2 linked regions of the Saccharomyces cerevisiae S288C genome follow. The protein of the gene in region 1 interacts with the protein of each later gene in a pairwise test. Each region holds a gene or a part of one and is shown on either strand. Other genes may lie near its edges.

Region 1 (6,711 bases):
AATCCAAACAGTTTGCCAATACAGGTGCCAATGGTCAAACTAACAAGTATCCATATAATGCGCAACCAACGGCGAACGACGAACAAAACGCTAAAAACGCAGCGCAAGATAGAAATAGTAACAAATCATCGAAAGGTTTTTTCAGTAAGCTAGGATGCTGTTAGAATAGAAAACGGAGGAGGTTTTTTGTAATCATTCCCACCACCGTCCAGTGATCTTCACATTTTGTTCTAGTATTATGATTTTGATGTACATTTGATATTTTTTTATGTTTTTTATTTAAAAAGTAAGGGCGAAAATGTCTATTATTAAAAAAATATTAAGTACTTTACGTGCTTTTTAATATCGTTTTTTATTGATTATGTATCTTTAATGGGTTATTGATTTTTTTTGTTTTCTTTTTATATAGTATATACGCTTGACGTTCCGCGCGATTGTTTGTTATTTATAGTGTCCTTCTTAATTAGATTTTTCGTCGGCGTTATTGTGTACTAAATACAGAGTATCAAGATCTTTGATCTCATTAGTGACTCTTAAGGAAGCGCCAATATTATAAAATGAAACTTGTTTACCCTCTTTCAATTTGCATAGTTGAAATTTGTCATTAGAACTTGAATTAGTTAGTGTGCTAGATTTCACGTTTAGCTGGATAGACAAATAGTCCATGGCCCTACCCACAGGCCACATTTTGTTAATGTATAATGGCATTCTTGTATCCTCCTTGGCTATATCCGTCTCATCACCATCCACCAAGTAACACCAAATGTAAATCCTATTTTGCATAGGAATCTTGGGGTCACCTTTAGCAATTTTCTTGAGATTAGCCAATTGAATTATCTTATTCGACGAGGAACCGAAATTCTTTTTTGATTTGTTATTGCTCTTTCTTTTCTCATTCCTTTGGAAGAACTTAAATATTTTGTCTAATGTCTTTGAGTTCAAAGTAGAGCTCACTTTGGCAGTGTTAGAACCTCTCAAAGGCTCTCTTGTTTCACTTACTCTCTGGATTCTAACACTGGCCCTCTCAGGTAACAGACTCTTGAAATATGCTTCATCGTTAGAACTTGAGCCATCCCGGCTTTTGCTAGGACTTTTTTCAGTTTTATGAACTTCTTCATGCTCTAGCAACCACCTACAGTGGTGATCTTCCTTAAGTCTATGGTTCGAGCAGAAATCTTCATTGCAAAACGAACAATGGAAAGGTAGGAAGTCTAGTTGTCTACAATATGCACAGTGCTTTCCTACATCCAACATTCCGGTTTCTTTTTCGATAGCCGCCGACATTCTTAAATATAGCAAAAATTAGTTGATGGTCCTTTTTTTTATATCAAAATTAATGCAAGCTCTTGCAGTAGATGTACACTACAATGTGCCTATAGCTCACTGTTGTCACACTTCCGCCCTAGCTCGAGTCCTTGCTTGTACAAGCTCTTATTACATCTTTATACTCATTTGTAGAACATGCTTTTGCCACCGAAAGGAGGGTGAGGCAGTTTTATGTATATACGAACGTCGCTGGCCACGAGGGGGGAACTTTTCTTTTTATCGGCATGAGATAAAGGGTAGATACGAAATTAGCTAGACATTTAAAATATGAAAGCAAGGAAATTACTAAACTTCGAGATGTTCTTTTCCTTAAACTTCTAGTTGACAGCTCAACATTGATGATAGGGCTTATTGTAGTACCTATTTTATTTGCAATAAAGGGCATAGTAGTTGGCGTGCAAAAGGTAAAGAAAAAGTTTGGAAAGCACTCAAACACAAAGGACCAAAAAGAAGACAAGGACGAAGATAAACGACAAAGTATTTCTCAAAGAAAACAGCATACAGAATGGCCAATAGAGGAGAACCGGATCCAAAGAAGAGCACCGAATCAATCTGCTCTCTGACTAAACCGCAGCTTTATTCATTATATGATGATGACGTCGTGAGATCGGAAGATAACGAAATTTACGAAGAATTGAAACGCTCTGTCTCTATAGATTCTACCAAATATAGTAGAGATCAAACTATTGATTCGACTTTTTACTTGGCCCATAAGGTTGGCGGCTCGCTGCCAAGGAACACAGTATCTTCTAATAATTTGGAAAGGATTTTATCAGCATCATCCATTCACGAAAACTTTCCGTCAAGAACCAGACAAACTCGTCAAAATATTCTTCATTACCTGCAAGCTGTATTAATTTTGTCATTGAGCGGTTTCGCATATCATGAACTGTCCAGAAACTTGCACGATAATCATCTCTTACATCCAGATTTTGCATCGAGACCCCTTCTACTGGGTGTCAAACTTTGTAACTGGCTATCCAATGGGGTTCTGCCAAACTGGTTAGGCTACGGTGTTGAAGGACTGTTATTTGGTTCTGTTGTACCAATTCTGGATAATATTTTTCAAACAGAGGTTGTTAAGAGCTCTGTCCACCATGACAGTTTGACCTCTGTTATTAGAAGTATCAATGCCATGTTGGGAGTCACATTTGGGATCAGGAAAATACAGTGGAACTCCTCTTTGCAGGCGGCAGGGGCATGGGGGCTTCTGAATATTATACTGTGGTTGTTTTTTGACGGCTCAATATCCATGTTAATGAGCTGCATCTGCATTGGGGTGGGTTGTTGTATCTCTTGCTACAAAGATATTATCGACGGTTCCCAATTTTTATATTTCATGGATTTTTATTTCCTTGGTTCTCTAATGTTTGGAAAACTAGGAAGATATCTATATTCTCATTAAAGTCGAAATTCTGACGAGTAAATATTATTAATTAGAAGTACAAGAAGATAACATCAGAATGGCTTATCGTTTATATATAACTAATTAACGTAAACACAGTCAGCCATATGGCTGTAACACTTGACATTTCGAGAAATCACATAATAAGCGTTAAATATAAGAGACCCTTCTCTTTCCCTAAAAAAATATAAAAAAGTACAGGTTGTCTATTTATCTAATGGGTGATTCAGTATACAAACTGGACGACGAAGAGCTGTGGTTCCCCACTGGCGTTGAACTTGTACTACCACCTCCAATAGTACCGTTATTAGACGATGGTGGTCCACTCGATATACTTCCCTCCTTTTGTATCAACGTCGCATTATCTACTACACCAGCGGTTGAGGCAGTTGACGGACAAGTGCTTATCCTTCTTTTTATTATATCTTCTCGTAGTTTGCTGGGATTTGTTAATGGCAGGTTATTCTTTCCATAGTTTATTGGATCATTGTTTTGAATGCCAGCTTTCTGCAAAGCGTAATCACCACTGTCGAAATATTTTCTTTTCTGCATGGTATGCTTAAAAATATCTTTCTTTGATGGCAGCTTTCCGTACATTTTGTATAGCTTCATTTCGTTGGGCGAGAATTTGCTGGTATCAATAGTTCCGCTTTCGCCGTTATTCAGTTTAGTTAAATCTGGGTTACTACTATTGGGAGATAAGTTTTCATTCGACATAGCGGCGAGTTAGATATTCAGGTCCCTTTCTTTCGATAAAAATACCCACTTTAATGAGAAGCATTTGATGGTTAATGGACTTTTTTACGTTCTAGTTGTGATGAGGCCAAGCTATCCAGCCAAAGGGGGCTCAGGCTTCCATACTAAAATTTCAGCAAAAGATCGTTCAATACGTGTGGTGCCCGGGTAACAACAAGCCCTGCTACTAATAGCACCATAACGATTAATGTTGGGTAAATATCCACGGGGATACCTAGCCGAGTGGTGATTAATGAGACTTGTATTGGAACCATGGCATGCTCACTAGGATACGAGTCAGACAAGACCTGGAAAGTCACTAGTATTCTCGCGTAGTCTGACTTAGTTCCCTGAAATTCAGTGAAACGTGGTATTGTGATAGTTTGGAGATTATTAATGGAAATTGGATGTATTGCTGACCAACACACTTTAATCTGATATGTTTCGTCTCGCTGTAAGTCCGCCAGTTCAATATACGTAGTATTATGCAACTCCAAGTCAGTGGTATTGGCCTCGATAGTGATCTGACTCATTGCTTCTCCCGATAGTGATATGGAAGATATCAAGTTTACATCTCTTGCATAAGTAGAGCTGTCTCTTGGTTTTTTGAGGGGAAAGTTGTGAGGAACCTTATATAAGATTGATTCTGTATTAGCGTGTACAAATCCGATGAAAAATACAATTGTAGCGATAAACCAGTGAACATTCTGAGGCCGGACCATCTTCTTTTTAAAAATTGAACGAACCTATGTTGGCTTAGTGTGTGCGAATACCAAGGGTCAACAACATTGCTGTGCAGTTAATCTTCATATTCATGTAAACTTCTCATTTTTTCATTGCATATTAGTTTCCGTCATTGATGATCTTTTATAACAATAGTGAGAGGAAACAACTCCCTCTACCTTCAAATAGGGTCGATTCGGGAATATGATTAAAGAGACACCGAATCAAACGCATACATCCTCACAAGCATTTAGTGAGAAAAAATGGCGAGGCCTCAAAATCATCGCCGCAGTAATTGGACAGAAAGAGACGATAATGATGATTATCTGTTTCAGCGATTTCTAGAAGAATCGGAAACGAGGCATAGTAGAGAGCCTTCACCTGTAACCGAGCAATCTCAGCAAGAACTACAGCAGGATGTACAGCAAGCAATCGATGGAATATTTAACTCCCTTAGGAGGAATATGAGTTCTACTTCAAATATAAATAGAGCAGCTAATATGGATGCAACCACAAACGGAAATGGAGGAATCAATGCAGACACTATAAGAGCCACCAACGCCAATACGGCCGATTCCCCATTCACAGCAAGGCAGCAGAGCCCTCTCAGAACTTTTCTTAGAAATTTATTCATTTTAGATTACTTTATTGGGCTAATTTTATTCCCATTTTCCGTATACAACATATTAAGGAGCGGGTTCAATTCAATGACCTTTTCAGAGAATGATTTTATAATCGAAATCGTGGGATACTGGAAATTTGCCAAGATATTTGGTTCTGGTGGCACGACATTAATAGCATATAAGGATACTGGTAAATTAGGGTTGCTTGGAAAGTTTCATAACATCATTGTATTTTACTCTTCACCTGTGATAAAACATATTATGAAAAGTAGAGATGGCAATGAACCCAACTTAAATTGGATAAGACTAATGTTCGCTAAAGCTTTCGAGCTATTTGTCAAAGTCTCTACCATTCTGATCTATTTAGCTTATGGCGTAAGTGGTACCGTTTACATGGTTACCGCTGGGTTTTTCTTCGTATTGTGTCTATTATTCACTGTTATTAGAAGATATAAAGGTGTCCATCGAATGTTGGTGAGCCAAAGGATTACAGGGCCAGGCGTATTCTGATGATGAATCCACGATTATAATTTGTGTATTTGCTTATCTGTAGTAGTTTCTTTCGCATGTGGTCGCTGTATGAGACACTTGACACCAGAGGACGTTTATTTTGAAGCAACTCCTCTATGTAAGAGCTGTTTGCAAGCTTTCCGTACTGTGACACTTGACCATCATAACGTATATTAACGAACTACTAGGGTTGTTGTGGGCTTCTTTCAAAATGGGAATTGTTAAAAACTATTGATAAACGCCACTCACTACATGCATTGATTGTAAGATTTAACTATCCTTTTTACCTGATGTCTCGAAAATAAGCGTTTACAACAACTACTATTTTGCCGTTCTAGTTTAAAACATGGACGCTATAAAACACTAAATATATCAGAAGATTTCACTTAGACACAAAAGAAGGGGGTGAGATCCCTTATCTGTAGTAAAATGTATACAAATTATACGGACATTGTTTCTTTATTGTATCCATGTATACATGTGGGGTCTTGACACTTACAGGTAGTGAATGCTAGACCTTCGAGACTTAAGGTGAGCAATGTTTTAAAACTTTTCTTTTTTTCCCACTTCAGTGGAGTGTCACCCCGGGAAGATATTCACCTATGGTCAATGTAGCAAAAGATAATAAAAAAATATGTATGGCCAAGAATTTATATGATTCTTTCATCAATTAATTAATTAATTATTTGGGGTATGTCTTAAATAACAATAAAAAGGTGTATAAAACAATCATACTGCTTTAATGGGAAGTATGGTTCCTATTACGAACGAAAATAAAAGCTGTTGCGTGGAAATTTTGTAAAATAATGGTTATGATGACTGGTAAAAAAAGAATCTCTATGCTTCGCTAGATTTAATATCTATCAGTTCATGGGAAAATGCTTTCCAGAGCGGACTTGGAGGTGACACCATTAACGGCAGCAATGGACAACAAGATTTGGGCCTTAATTGGGGATAGGTAACCAGCACCCACAGCGTTCTTTGGAACATCTTTGTTGTCAATAAAGTTTAATGGAGTGTTAGCTTGAGCATATACGACTGGGATTTCAGTGCTTTCAATAGTAGATGAGGTTGAGTTGGTAGAACCAGAAGAAACAACAACCAAACCTTGAACGGCAGAACTCAAGGAGTCAATCAAACTGGAAGAGTAACCACCGTCATAGACAATTGGAACAATTGGAACACCGTTTTCTAATAGACCATAAGGAGTAGTGAAGTTACTGTATTCCTTTCTGATAATCGAGTCAGAAGAGATTAAAGTTGGCTTAGAAGCATCGAAGAACCATTTAACTTCGTCTTGGTCATCAACGATAGCAACAGGCAAACCAGCACCGTAAGAACAAGCAGTAGGTGGAGTGAAGACACCGGAGTACACTAATTTGTCAGAAG
Region 2 (7,552 bases), on another chromosome or scaffold:
GGAGTAAAATTCACGCCTTTTTTGTCCACTCCTTTTTCCGTAAATATTACATAATTAAATAGTCACAGCTCTTACGCACCTGTTTGGCCGCACATGAGAGTTAAACGCAAACTCCGCCGAGGCGTCGTTTTTCTAGCTGCTGCTTCACGTTTTATGGAGTCATATTCTGGTCTAAAAAAATTATACTAGGCAGGTAATGGATTGTTTTAAGTTTCTTGTTAACTCACATAGGATCTTTTTTGAGTACCTTGTGAAATGGTTAGATTTGATACCTTATTTTTTTCCAACATTACATTATTTTAGTATCGTTCAAGTTCTCCTTTACTTTTAGAGATTACGCCTACATTATGTATGCCGAACTTAGTAGGAACTATTTGTACGCAAAACATGAATTGTTTGTCGTGTCTGCATACATTAGTGTTGACAGTCAGAGAACTTGATTTTAAAAATAAAAGTTTCTTGTTTACAAAAAAGTATGGTCACCCGGTGTCTTTGCTATAATGGGAACAGAAAACCATTTGCAAGACTACTAAAATACGATTTTGTAATTTGACGTTACAAATATAGGGATAGTTGATAAATAGTTACGCGCAGTTAACTTTTCCTCACCAAAGGACAGTTATTTACCTACTGATTGAAAATGTTTTGGCACAGGATACCAGTTTTCAAATTTATTAATTAATTAAGGAGAAGTGAGAAATGATTAGAAAGCAATTAAGCGGTGAAGGTCTGCTTTTTATACTTACAAGAACGTATTATTAGCAGCCAACGCACTACAGTTGTTGACTAAGTTTTGTTTTAATTTGATTCGTAGTTGTTGGTCGAATTTTGTTTTGACTTGTTTTCAGTTTCTTTTTTTTTAATGCCTGACGTTGAAGAGCACGCAGGCCTATGAAAAAAAAAAATTATACGAGTTACTTGGAATTCGCTCCCATTGCACCAATTTCAGGAAGCGATCAAAAAGAAAGCAATGTTATTCAACATAACTTTATTCATACTGTAGTAACAATAACTTCATATCAATTAGGATTCACTGTTCATTGACTTATCACTACAATATGGAGGAAACGTTGCGTAATCGTTGTCGCTATAGATATTGTCCCTCCCTTCCTCTGTGATAGTTCTTCTTTATATAACTTTCACAAAAGCTTCTGCCCTCATAGTTGCCCTCAATAAACGAAAGGCCAGATGCATACAGGTGCAGTAGTACATCCAAAGAAACATAGGGGCAAAAACCGTGTTCTAATATTAGACTGCATATATCCCCTTGTCATTAGCTTAAATCATATAGAGTAATATGTACATACAGGTTATTTTATTTGTAGCTTTCCTCCTCTTTATGGAGCAAAGTAAGCCATACGAACGGTTTACAATAGAGAGCGTCGTTTGCTTACGTGATTGTCATGTGCCTTCGTAGGCAAAGGGGATTGCACACCTTTTTACTAAACAATAGAAAAGTGAGAATTCTCTTATAGGCACTGCTGCTCCTCGTTTCTTTTTACGCGCTGTCGTTCCAGGTCCTTTTTTCGATTAACTACGGTAGTTTCAAAGAGAGTGCCTGAAGATCACTCCATATACAGGCTAGATGAACTGTAAACGAGCTCATCAGCAGCGTCCCTTTCAGTGTCACTACAGCCACAGCAGCTTACCTCCTGTACGATGTGACAGAGCAAAACACAAATGTGTGTCCTTTCTACTCTTATTTTCCAACTCGAATATAAAGACGGTGCCTTTGCCTTATTTCTAAGGCACTGAACAGTTCTAAAAGTAAAGTTTTCCCTAGCCTTAGTACCGTTTCTGTGAAGCAGTTATTGAATAGTTATTGGACATAAAAATCCATATTGAAAAAAAAAAAAACATACTTGAGAAGGCATTAGCTGAATAGTAAAGACTGCTGTAATTCATCTCTCAGTCCTTGCAGTCTGCTTTTTCTGGAATTAATATGTCAATTTCAAAGTACTTCACTCCCGTTGCTGACGGGTCACTCACTTTCAATGGCGCGAACATTCAATTTGGCGCCGATGCTCAAGGCGAGTCAAAAAAGAGTTATGACGCTGAGGACAGCATGCCGAATCCGGCAAATCAACTAAATGACATAACCTTCCAAGCAGAGGCTGGTGAAATGGTTTTGGTTTTGGGTTATCCCACATCCACTCTATTTAAGACTTTGTTTCATGGTAAAACTAGTTTGTCATACTCTCCTCCAGGCTCGATTAAATTTAAAAATAATGAGTTTAAGAGCTTTTCCGAAAAATGTCCCCACCAAATCATTTACAATAATGAACAAGATGTGCATTTCCCATTTCTAACGGTAGAACAAACAATTGATTTTGCCTTGAGTTGTAAGTTCGATATTCCAAAAGGTGAGCGCGATCAAATAAGAAATGAACTTCTAAGAGAATTCGGCCTGTCTCATGTATTGAAAACTATTGTAGGAAATGATTTTTTCCGTGGTGTTTCTGGTGGTGAGCGTAAACGTATTTCTATTATTGAAACGTTTATTGCTAATGGTTCCGTTTATCTATGGGATAATTCTACTAAAGGTTTAGATTCCGCCACAGCTCTCGATTTTTTGGAAATTCTTAGAAAAATGGCAAAAGCTACTCGTTCTGTAAACTTAGTCAGAATTTCCCAGGCAAGTGATAAAATTGTTGATAAGTTTGACAAGATTCTTATGCTATCCGATTCCTACCAGCTTTTCTATGGTACGGTCGATGAGTGTTTGACTTATTTTCGTGACACTTTAGGTATTGAGAAAGATCCTAACGATTGTATTATTGAATATCTGACCTCTATCTTAAATTTTCAGTTCAAAAATAAAAATTTGGGGAATTTATCAAATTCATCATCTGCTAGCGTTCTCAAAACCGCAACAGGGGAAGTCACTAAGTATACTTATAATTCTGATTTCGATTTATATGATCAATGGAAACATTCTTCGTACTATAGAAATATAAAGCAGCAAATCCAGGGGTCTTCAATTGATGACTCCATTAAGGAAGTGGATCCCTCTGATGTCTCACCTATTTTTAATATTCCGTTGAAGAAACAATTATTATTTTGCACAAAAAGAGCTTTTCAACGAAGTTTGGGTGATAAAGCTTATATGACGGCACAATTTATTTCTGTCGTTATTCAATCTTTGGTCATTGGTTCACTGTTTTACGAAATTCCGTTGACTACCATTGGTTCATACTCAAGAGGTTCTTTAACCTTTTTCTCCATTCTTTTCTTCACTTTTCTTTCTCTTGCAGATATGCCTATTGCCTTCCAAAGACAACCCGTCGTTAAAAAGCAATCCCAACTTCACTTCTATACTAACTGGGTTGAAACCCTTTCAACAACAGTGTTCGACTACTGCTTTAAACTTTGTTTGGTAATTGTATTCAGTATCATCCTATACTTCCTTGCTCACCTGCAATACAAGGCTGCAAGATTTTTCATTTTCCTCCTGTTCCTTTCCTTTTACAATTTCTGTATGGTGTCCTTATTCGCTTTGACGACACTAGTTGCTCCAACCATTTCAGTTGCAAATTTATTTGCAGGTATTCTGCTACTAGCTATAGCAATGTATGCTTCTTACGTCATCTACCTGAAAAATATGCATCCTTGGTTTGTATGGATTGCTTATCTAAATCCTGCAATGTACGCTATGGAGGCAATACTGTCTAATGAGCTTTACAATTTGAAGCTGGATTGTAGTGAGACAATTGTTCCAAGAGGTCCTACTTACAACGATGTTCCATTTTCCCATAAGGCCTGTGCTTGGCAAGGTGCTACTCTGGGTAATGATTACGTTAGAGGCCGTGATTACTTGAAGCAAGGTTTATCCTACACGTATCATCATGTGTGGAGAAACTTTGGTATTATCATTGGTTTCCTAGTATTCTTTATTGCCTGTACTCTGTTTGCATCTCAATATATTAAGCCTTATTTCAATAAGGATGAAATAGAGCGCAACAATAGTCGTTTGACAAGATGGCTACCATTTTTGAATAAAAAGAGAGGTACCAGGTCCTCTGCAAGAAATGACAGTAAGTATGTTGGTATCCCAAAGTCGCACTCCGTTTCGTCTTCCTCGTCTAGCCTGTCGGCTGTTCCATATCAGATATCACCCTCAAATAAGGAAATGGCTCTAAACGATTATAACGAGCAACCTATCACGGAAACAGTAGAGACTCAAAAGCATATCATCTCTTGGAAAAATATCAACTACACAGTTGGTACAAAGAAACTGATTAATAATGCATCCGGTTTCATCAGTTCTGGTTTGACCGCCTTAATGGGTGAGTCCGGTGCAGGTAAAACTACTTTGCTGAATGTCTTATCACAAAGAGTTGAGACAGGTGTTGTTAGCGGCGAAATTTTGATCGATGGCCACCCATTGACAGATGAGGACGCGTTTAAGAGAAGTATTGGTTTTGTTCAACAACAGGATTTGCATCTAGATTTGCTGTCTGTGAAAGAATCTCTGGAAATATCATGTCTTTTGAGAGGTGATGGTGACAGGGCATACTTAGACACTGTTTCAAATTTACTGAAATTGCCATCTGACATTTTAGTCGCTGATTTAAACCCGACTCAAAGGAAGCTTTTATCTATCGGTGTTGAACTTGTTACTAAGCCTTCACTTTTATTATTCCTAGACGAACCAACCTCTGGGCTGGACGCTGAGGCTGCACTAACAATCGTCAAATTTTTAAAACAACTTTCTTTACAGGGTCAGGCTATTTTTTGTACCATTCATCAGCCTAGTAAAAGTGTCATCAGCCATTTTGACAATATTTTCTTATTGAAAAGGGGTGGTGAATGTGTCTTCTTTGGACCAATGGACGATGCCTGCGGCTATTTCATGTCTCATGACAACACGCTCGTTTACGATAAAGAACATGATAACCCTGCAGATTTCGTCATTGATGCAGTAGGTAACAGTAACTCCTCGGCAGGGAAAGATACAGCGGAGGAAGCTCTTACTTTGAACAAAGAAGCCATAGATTGGAGTGCATTATGGGAATCTTCTGTAGAAAAGAAACTAGTTAAAAAAGAAACAGCTAGGTTAGAAGATGATGCTCGTGCGTCTGGTGTTGATTACACAACCTCATTGTGGAAGCAGCCTTCCTACTTACAGCAATTAGCTCTTATTACAAGAAGACAATATATTTGTACGAAAAGAGACATGACTTATGTCATGGCCAAGTACTGTTTGAATGGTGGCGCTGGTTTGTTTATCGGTTTCTCATTTTGGCACATTAAGCATAATATTATCGGTTTGCAGGATAGTATCTTCTTCTGTTTCATGGCTCTTTGTGTTTCATCTCCATTGATCAATCAAATTCAGGACAAAGCCTTGAAAACAAAGGAAGTTTATGTTGCTAGGGAGGCGAGATCTAACACTTATCACTGGACTGTTCTTCTTTTGTCACAGTCAATTATTGAACTACCACTGGCACTTACAAGTTCCACACTATTTTTCGTCTGTGCCTTTTTCTCTTGTGGATTTAACAACGCTGGCTGGAGTGCCGGTGTTTTCTTTTTAAACTATATGCTTTTCGCTGCTTATTACTCGACTCTTGGTTTATGGCTGATCTATACTGCTCCTAATCTACAAACTGCTGCTGTTTTTGTTGCGTTTATTTACAGTTTTACAGCATCATTCTGTGGTGTTATGCAACCATACTCTTTGTTTCCAACTTTTTGGAAATTCATGTACAGGGTTTCGCCATACACATATTTTGTGGAAACTTTTGTTAGTATTCTATTGCATAACTGGGAAATCAAGTGTGACATGTCGGAGATGGTTCCTGGTCAACCTCTGACGGGGCAATCTTGTGGCCAATTTATGGAAGCTTTCATAGAAGAATACGGTGGCTATCTACATAATAAGAACACTTTCACAGTCTGCGCTTATTGTACGTACACTGTTGGCGATGACTTCCTGAAAAATGAGAATATGAGTTACGACCACGTTTGGAGGAACTTTGGTATTGAATGGGCTTTTGTTGGTTTCAATTTCTTTGCGATGTTTGCTGGTTACTACTTAACTTACGTGGCAAGAATATGGCCAAAGGTCTTTAAAATTATCACCAAAGTAATTCCACACAGAGGGAAGAAGCCTGTACAGAACTAATACCATTTTTAAATATATTTCTACTTTCTACTTAATAGCAATTTTAATTAATCTAATTATTTACAAGTCACCAATGACTGACTAAACAATTGAAAGAGTCCTTTGTACAACAAAAAAAAAGATACTTGTCGCTGACGCTCAAAAAATATTTATATAGCAAAAGTGCACGACAAAAAATGCTTCCAATCGGATTTGAACCGATGATCTCCACATTACTAGTGTGGCGCCTTACCAACTTGGCCATAGAAGCAGTAAACCGTTATTTTGTTGTTTCTCAGAGTGGTACACGTCAGTATGACAATACATCATCCTAAAACGTTCATATGAAACAACCTTATAACAAAACGAACAGAATGAGCAACATGACATATAACTTCGCCTCCCTTAGCTTAACCACCCAAACGTATAGACGCCTGAGCAATTAATTTAGATCCGAGGTTCGGCGCTTCCACCAATTAATATGATCCATATTTTATATAATATATAGGATAAGTAACATCCCATGAAAAGCTGATAATCCGTTCTGACAACTGGTTACTTCCATTGACTGTTTATATTGGGATTTTCAAGACACCCCGGTATTACTCGTACCCGTAAAACAACATACACTTCGTCATGACTGAGAAGAATATAGGAGTAAAAAGAATACCTGAACTAACAGATATAATCAGCATCATGTTTTTTAAGCGAGAATACAGAAATATTCAAATTAAGATAGGCAACAAGGATTAGTTTAAATCTGAAAATCTTTTAAGATTAGGTACCTAATTTAGCTATATTGCTTTATGATTAGTTATAACGTCATTGGAGGAACAAACTATTGGAATAAGAATCGACTATAATCTACCGGCGAGTATTCATAAGCTATTATATTGTGGTAGACGGAGTAGAAAGATAAAAAAGGATTGAAAACAGTCATCTGATTTAATGGAAGCTGAAATGCAAGATTTAATAATGTAATAGGATAATGAATGACAACATAAAAAATAGAAGAAATAATAATAGTAACATTATGTGGAAATATGGGTTTCCTTGGCAGGTTCCTATATCCTTGAGAAAGAGCTTCTAATATATTTTGTATATTTAGTATTATAACTAAGCTGTTAGAAAATAAAATACCGCTAAATCAATTGAGGCGGTATTAAATACCTGTACATTTGAATATTTGGAATGAGAAAGAAATATAGTTACATAATGTACAAAAAAGAAGCAAGAAAGGAATATATATATATATATATATATATATATATATGTATATTGTTATTTAGAATATCTCTCTCTCTTCGAGAATCTCTATATCCTCGAAAAGAACTTTTAGCATATTCACGATAGGTCGTATTATCAATTAAATCAATTACGAAGTTCGGAAGTTATTGCCTACATAATATGATGTCCTGTTCATAAAAATAGAGCCCTAAGAAGTGT

Evidence for each region. The genes of interacting proteins can lie anywhere in the genome.
Region 2: the proteins of NSG2 (region 1) and AUS1 interact in a protein complementation assay, tested with the Saccharomyces cerevisiae proteins (one study listed by BioGRID).

The regions. Positions count from the first base shown.
Region 1 is NC_001146.8:337,089-343,799, reverse strand, and holds NSG2 (Nsg2p), read left to right. Parts: upstream 1-1,831; coding exon 1,832-2,731; downstream 2,732-6,711. Other genes in the region: serine/threonine protein kinase YCK2, read left to right, coding at 1-164; CUZ1 (Cuz1p), read right to left, coding at 460-1,284; YNL155C-A (uncharacterized protein), read left to right, coding at 1,665-1,889; IGO1 (phosphatase regulator), read right to left, coding at 2,942-3,448; PGA1 (Pga1p), read right to left, coding at 3,592-4,188; ASI2 (Asi2p), read left to right, coding at 4,453-5,322; YGP1 (Ygp1p), read right to left, coding at 6,191-6,711. UniProt on the Saccharomyces cerevisiae protein: Stabilizes the HMG-CoA reductase HMG2 by preventing its HRD1-dependent degradation. Binds directly to the sterol-sensing domain (SSD)-containing transmembrane region of HMG2, promoting its folding to protect it from degradation.
Region 2 is NC_001147.6:347,737-355,288, forward strand, and holds AUS1 (ATP-binding cassette sterol transporter AUS1), read left to right. Parts: upstream 1-1,942; coding exon 1,943-6,127; downstream 6,128-7,552. UniProt on the Saccharomyces cerevisiae protein: Transporter involved in the uptake of sterol.